Danio rerio: one gene and its partner. The protein of the gene in region 2 interacts with the protein of the main gene of each other region in a pairwise test. Links are inferred from orthologs where the notes say so. Each region holds a gene or a part of one and is shown on either strand. Other genes may lie near its edges.

The links.
Region 1: the proteins of kpna5 (region 2) and anp32b interact in binary tests that used the Homo sapiens proteins (3 or more experiments, as listed by UniProt). The two-hybrid records come from large-scale screens. The link is inferred for Danio rerio from reciprocal best matches to the Homo sapiens genes KPNA5 and ANP32B.

The regions. Positions count from the first base shown.
Region 1 is NC_133176.1:28,299,893-28,303,820, reverse strand, and holds the start of anp32b (acidic leucine-rich nuclear phosphoprotein 32 family member B), read left to right. Parts: upstream 1-898; 5' UTR 899-1,065; coding exon 1,066-1,119; exon of another isoform or gene 1,120-2,496; intron 2,497-2,918; coding exon 2,919-3,068; intron 3,069-3,155; coding exon 3,156-3,278; intron 3,279-3,928. UniProt on the Homo sapiens protein: Multifunctional protein that is involved in the regulation of many processes including cell proliferation, apoptosis, cell cycle progression or transcription.
Region 2 is NC_133191.1:35,374,893-35,378,726, forward strand, and holds part of kpna5 (importin subunit alpha-6), read right to left. Parts: intron 2,630-3,834; coding exon 2,530-2,629; intron 2,446-2,529; coding exon 2,351-2,445; intron 2,263-2,350; coding exon 2,131-2,262; intron 2,012-2,130; coding exon 1,923-2,011; intron 1-1,922. UniProt on the Homo sapiens protein: Functions in nuclear protein import as an adapter protein for nuclear receptor KPNB1. Binds specifically and directly to substrates containing either a simple or bipartite NLS motif.

The DNA of each region.
Region 1 (3,928 bases), on a different chromosome or scaffold from region 2:
AATGGAGTTGCTGTTGTTTTTTTTAAGCCATATTTTGCTTATGCTTGAAGTTGGTCCATTGTTATATTTTTTTTCTCACCATACTGAAGAATATGAAAGACCTGAATTATGAGACAATGTAGAGGCAAAAAAACAAGATGATGCCCTCTCCTGGCAACTTGTTGAAGATTCCAAGTTTCTTTGGAACAATAAAATCATGATATTCAGTTTGACTCAGTATATAACAGTAAATAAAGTACATAATTATATTTAAAATAATAAAATCATAAAACACAAAGATTACTTTAGAAGACTTTAAACTCTTTAAAAAACTAAGAGTTATACTTAGTGATATACCTTTGATTTCCAGAACACGATTTATTGTTAATGTGTGATTAAAGATTCTGAATTAAGTATTAAAATATGTATTTAAATGTGTATATGGCTGATGGAGGGAGAGTCTTCTTTTTAACAATAATTATTTCTTTAGTAAAACTTAACATTAATATTAAAATAAATTATTGGCTGACTGAAATTTAATGACAGTGTCACATTATAACGCATGATTTATTTTAATGATTGATTTATTTTAATGTGCACACTTTAACCACACAAAGAAGTTATTTCAACCCTCAGTCTTTCAAAAAAGTCAGAGTTCAGTGTATGACTTATTCAAGGTTTCTAAAAAAGGTAAAATGTACAGCACAACTTTTTTTTATTCTTAATACAATAAATGACATCAAATAAAACTGTAAGTAATCTTTACAACCAATAACAGTATGAAGTAATAATAGTGCAAAGAATCAAATTGAGACAATCTTTTCATGTCACACTGTAATGCAGCAGTGTTTGATCTTATACTCGACTGCAGTGGGGGCGCTTGGCCAGAGATGGCGCTATTGAGTATATATTAGTTTCAGCGCCGTTTCCCTCCATGGTTTCTGCTCTCCCAGAGTAACTTGGCGCTGGGCTCAGATCATTATACAGTCCCATATTCTCCCTCCATTAGGCATCTTTCTACCTTTTGGGCTGAACAGAAATTCCTCCAGAACCCAAGAGGGAAGAGTCCAACTTTTAAGGGGCGAAATGGACATGAAAAAGAGGATTCATTTGGAGCTGAGGAACAGGACACCATCTGATGTGAGTAATTTTGAGGCAAACCTTTAGTTTTGTGCTCAGCCATGCTAGCCTTGCTACTTTCTACTTCCACGGATTTGTGTGTAGTTTAATGGTAAGCACATGGGTGTAATGCCCCTGGTACAGAGTTAAATGAGAAAGTGCTGCGCGTACATCTACTGCATTAATGTTTATTCGTATCATTTTGTTATGAAAGGAACCAGGCTGAGTAAGGTACACTCAGCAACGTTACTTAGTTTGGAAAGCTGAATGAAGGCATTATTGCAGTATTCTAAGCCCCACACGCTGGATACGTTACGTGTATTCTTTTTAAACTTCATATCTGCTTATTTTAACCTCGGCGTGGTAGGATGTGGATGGGATGGTTTATTTCGCCGCGGTGGCCATGTTTGTTGCTAACATGAGGCGCCCTTTATTACAGGCACTTAAAAGCTAAAGCAATAAATCAGATATTCTGTGAAGATAACCATACGCTAACAAATTTTCGTAAATACGGTAACATTTCGGTCTTAATCGCTCTACGGCGTATGTATTCTTTCAACTAAAAATAAAAATATCAGGAAAGGCAATTAAAAAATAAAGTTAAATGTGTAGTCTGACTAACATGCAGTCGCGATATGAATTGTATTCTAAAGGGTAACATGGTTGTCGATTATATGAATTAACAAATTTTTTTTGAAAAGTTTAGTTTTTCTGACTGACTAGAGATGCTCTAAAGTAACCTTAAAACGTGCAACATGAACGCATGTATTACTCATTAAAAAGCTCGTGTTGGGTTTTATTCGTTAAATTGTTACTCGCTGTTGCGAGACGCCGATTCCCGCCATTACTTCCCACGCGCCACTACCGATCACGCTAACCATTATATTAGATAAATGATCGCTTTGATTGTTTTTAAACGTCTAAATGATCTACAGTATAAAATAACACTTGTAGAGACCAAAACAGCGACTGAGGAAAAAGAAGCTAACGTTACGTTACATGTGCTAACTTGATATGACAAACCGGTACAAATGTTTGGTCAGTTCTAAAATCCACCAAACATCGCGTAAAATATTGTCCTGATAGCCGGAAGCTTATAGTACGTTTTTCGAACGCAGCGTTTGATTTTTGTTTAATGTGTTGTTTTTTCAGCAACACAAGCTATCCAAGGAGGCGCCATGTTGTCATGAGAGAAAGAAACTCTCCATTTTTGTCTCACTAATTTCCGCTCTGTCTTCGTCTTTCGCTGTAGGAATACGCCATCGACATATCGCTTCCATCTTACACGAGCTCCTAAATGCCCTCCATTTGTTGTTTGTCAAACGAAATTAAACAAAACACGGCGGTGTCTTTCGGATATATGTCCATGTTGTCTGGCTGTCGGCGTGTAATCTGCTGTTTTCTCATTGGCGACTCGCTGCGACAGTCTGAGCCATAGGGCCATACAACAACAGCAGCAGCAGCAACCGCTTAACAAACAGCCTTCAGTGGTTTTCATTTTAGTTTCTTGACTACAATTTCATCGAACTAGCTTACGACCACTCACAGTGTCAAAATCCCCAACACACTTTAAGACTGTGTTTACAAAGACTGTTCTTTGTTTTGTCTGGTTAAGAAACTATCAGAAAAAAAACTGCATAGTTTGTCGCCTTTTTATGGCATGCTTATGGCCAACGTGTCCAACACCCCTTTTGCAAAAGTCACATAAATTTTTTTTTTTATTTGAATCATGATTGTTATGGTTATTACAGGTGAAACCTGTTAATATTGCAAACAGTATTTTATTATTATTTTTATTTCTTACCTTTTGTTTAATCTAGGTACGAGAACTTGTCCTCGACAACTGCAGATCAAATGAAGGGAAAATTGAAGGCCTCACAGCAGAATTTGTTAATCTTGAATTTCTAAGTTTGATAAATGTTGGTCTGCTCTCAGTATCCAACCTTCCTAAACTCGGAAAACTAAAAAAGGTAACTTAAAGTTTTCTTATTGTTTACCATCTTTCAAACATGTGCACAATGTTATATGTTTTGATATGGATGTATTGTTATTTTCAGTTGGAACTCAGCGACAACAGAATCTCTGGTGGCCTTGACGTTTTAGCTGAAAAACTCCCCAATCTCACACATCTAAACCTAAGCGGCAACAAACTGAAAGACATCAGCACATTGGAACCATTGGTTTGTAAACACTTCCTTTTCAAACTAGATTATGGTTTTACACGTTGAAATTTGGAGCTTAACTTGCATCACAGCTTATAAATTTTAGTTATTTATTATTATATAAATTATTTAGTTATATAGTTAGGTTAGTTAAGTTATGTACAATTTAATATAAAATGTGATGTGCACAATGTTCAGCATCCCTTTCATTCGATTGTTTATCAAGGGTCTACAAGTGTCTTTTTGCTACATTATTTTAAAGACTTTTTTATTGATAAATATTAAAATTAATTTTTTAAAAGTTTGAAATATTTCAAGAAACACTTAATAGATTGAAACAACTTGTGGTTTACTTCATTTTCTATGTACCAATTGAACCATTCTAAAAATGTCTATACACAGAGCTTTGATCTTTAAAAAAAAAATTAAGTCTTACAAAGACTATTTACTTTTATATATTTTCGTTGCTAATTTGATCTTTCTTTTTACTTGTGTAATTCTATATGAATGTTTCTTTAAAATTTTTACTAAATGTTGATTTTTTTTTTATTTTTATACTGTTAATTCGTGTCAGGTTTTACAGGGTTAAAATCATTTCACCTAAATTGGAAAATGCCCCTCATGTTCCAAACTGGCTGACTTTTTTTTGTTTAAATATACATTTGTTT
Region 2 (3,834 bases):
ATGAACGTGAAACTGAGCGCAACATGCACGAGCACAAAACCCCTCCCTGCCTCCTCCCCCGTATGAATATGCTAATGACTATGCTAATGGCAAAACCCAACGAAAAAGCAACGGCAAAATCAAGCAAAAAGAGAAACTTTGAACAGAATGTGAATTGGAGGTGCTGCTTTCGGAGGTAGATCGGAGAAAAGCGGTGTTATTTGCAAGTTTGTTTTTCGGAATTAACAACAAAAGAAAAAAAATAGAGTGGGAGAGTTTAGCTGATGCGGTTGACACAGTTGGGTCTGAACATCGCACTGAGTGCATTTAAAAAAGAAATAGTGTGGTTTATATGTGTAAACTGTTGCAGCACTCTGAACAGTCTCAGTGGCTAGCTCGTAAGACGCATGTGATCATGTTTTGACACGTTCGAGCATGAACTCGGCTCGAATCCAGCGTCAGATGAACTCTATCTTCTTTTTTTCCCCCGCTACATATCATATTTTGCCTACTATTTATCACGAGAAAGACTAGTAGGAATCATTAATAAGTTTGTGCATCATATTTTATTTGCACATTTATTGAATGGAAATGTTTCTGATTCACGTTTGCAAATTCATCTTCAGATAGTGTCTTTATAGCAATGTGTGTGCAGTAGATAGCTCAGATTACATTGGGAAAACAGGCGACCGCTGCAAATTGTGCTTTAATGTTTAGCTGGTCAACTGTATGGTATGGAAATCTTACATACCTACTAGATGAACCCGTCTCATACAGCTGCCATTGCAAGGATCAGACACTTTGTAGAGAAGAATTTAACACAACTGCCTCTAGGAGTCGCCAATGGAAATAAAACAGACACGCACAAAAAATGTGCGTACGCCAGCCATAAAGCTGCCGTGGAGCTGCGCACATTCCCACGTTCAGTTCATTGTTAGTAAATCCAAACGTGAGCGATTCTGAGCGTGAAACCTGGCGTACGCAATGTTTTTGTGCGTACGCAGCGTTGATACATGAGGCCCCAGGGGTTTTATCTGAACTATAAACTGCTACCCCAGTACTTCGGTGTTATTTGACTGTTTGTAACTTTATGACCAACTCAACTTCTTGATTTTTGCGTTTTCAGATTTGAATGCAGCGATTCGAAGAATTAATAAACATGCAAATCACCATCATTTATAATTTGTGTTGTATGGATGTTGAGATCCCGATCTTTTAATGATTAATAGTGCAGCTTACTCAAAGCATTGATGCAGGTTAAACAAGTAGTGACAGAAAACACCTTTAATAGCCGAAGAAACCCACCACATTCGAATAACCCGAACACCCCGAATACCACAACTTCTTCTGTCAACATTATATTTTACGGGAAAGCTTTTATAATTGTGATTTGAACGACCCAAAAGGCGATCTCTCTGCAATCGTTACAAATTTATGATCAATCTACAAGTTAATTTTTTAAATCTGCAGGTCACATGTTCCGAACTGTGGGTTGTGATCTGTACGAATCAACCATGATCAGTTACACCCCTGAACACAAGTATAAATCATATTGAATAAATAAAACCAAAATAACTTAGTTCAATTATAATATTACAATTTCACAAAATTAAGTTTTCTGATCATGTACTGATAAGAATAATCTCAGACCTGTTGTCGACTCATTTACATCTGAAGTTAAAAACGCTGGTAGTGTCATTTCAAAACTGCTTCATTTTTATTACATTTTTTATTTTTCATCCGTGAAATTTTTTTGCTGAAATAACTATTCACTGACAAAATGAACACTGCTGTGTGGCAGACATTTAACAGCCTTGGCAAAGATGAAGAAACCTGCGCAACTGAGATAACGGAGAGCTATTCACCAGATATTACACAATTCCCAAAAAACCCAAATATAAAGGCTTGCAATCACAGTTTCGGTATCAGCCGAAGACACTCACTGCTGAAGAGAGGGCAAAATGCCACAGTTGAGGACGTAATCTCTGCATTCTGCGTTATCGCCAGCAATATTTCCTAACGCCCACACGGCCTGCAAAAACAGCCATACACAACACTTTCATTGTGCTCTGGAGTTTTTATAAACCAGCTACTGGCTGAAAAGAATTTAAAAATGGCTATCTATTTTTAAATAATAATAATTATAATCACCTGCTCTTGTACATCCTCGTACTCAGAGTTGAGCAGCTCTATAAAAATGGGCACAGCTCCCGTCTCAATGACCACCTTGGTGTGTTGGAAGGTCCCTGAGGCAATGTTGGTCAGGGCCCACGCAGCTTCAAACTGGACAAAGCATGCGACAATACATCATAAAAATGGTCTGTAATGGCAATGTAGCATTCACAAGGTTTTTGTAATGATATGTTCTTACCTGCAGTGTGCAGTTATCACTCCTTCTTAGGAATTCAACAAATCGGTTGACAACACCAGGTGTGCCGATGACCTCATCAATGGGAGGATTGGGCTCTGAGGTAAGCACAAAACATTTTAAGTGTACCATTAAACGACTGTCATTCTTAAGTTTATAAGAGAATCAGTGAAGATATTAACCTTTAGAGAGTAACTTTCTGAACTTCTGAGTGGCTATTAGCTGCTGGTCTGGATCCTCAGAGAAGATCATCTGAATCACGTCTTGGGTTATGACTCCTTCCTGCAGAGATAATGTTCATTTTACATGTGGTTTTTAACTCAATAAATGGACAAAATGTGCCAGTATGGGTCTTGTGCTTTACTATTACTGTATATTCATTTATGTGTGTGTGCATTTGAATACATTGAGGGGCAGTAAGATTTTTTGAATTATTATTATTTTATTCAGCCAGCCACATAGACATACATCAGACATACATATACAGGGTTTTTCCTGGCTCAAAATGAAGCAGAGGTGGTATTCTTTCCCCTCCCCCTCCATACTCAAGCTCATATTTCTTTGAGGACTAACAGTTCCTTTCATAAGTAGCACTTCTTGTTTGTAATGCTTCTTCATGTAGAATTGCTGAATGCCTCCTCATTTGTAAGTTGCTTTGGACCAAAGTGCCTGCTGCTAAATGATTAAATTTATCAAATTAATGAAATTTTACTACATGATAGATTATATTAAACTATATTCTTCATTATACATACACACATATATATATATATATATATATATATATATGTGTGTGTGTGTGTGTGTGTGTGTGTGTGTGTGTGTGTGTGTGTGTGTGTGTGTGTGTGTGTGTGTGTGTGTGTGTGTATGTGTGTGTGTATGTGTGTGTGTGTGTGTGTGTGTGTGTGTGTATGCATGTATGCATGCATGCATGCAAACATACATACATACATACAGGGCTTAACATTAACCTTTTTGATCATTAGCCACTTTGGCTAGTAGTTTTCCAACATTACTAGCCACTCGCCATTTTCACTAGCCACAATTTTGTTGTTGGGAAAATATATTTTATACAGTGGCGTAGCGGACGGGCCCGCAGGGCACGCACCGCGGGGGGGGGCCCGCGTGATTAGGGGGCCCCACGTCGTCGCGATTTTCAATAATTGAAAATCCAGGAACCGCAATAATCAAACTCTTGGGAACAACTGTGGTCGGAACCAAAGTTTACAGGTCTGTGTTCTCTGAACTCCGCTCAAGCGGTGGACTACTTCATTCTGATTGCTTGCCGCTGAACCGCGTCATAGCCAATGAAGACGCGCCGCTGTTTCTTGCCGCCGGTTCTCGTTAAAAAAATGAATGACTTCTGGCTACCTTGACGCTCTCGCCACTTTCGGTTTGTGATCGCTCCTCAGTTTGTGAAGGATTCCCCGCGTTGTCACACCACCCCGCCTCCTTTCCCCGCTCCTCAATTTGTGACATAGATATAT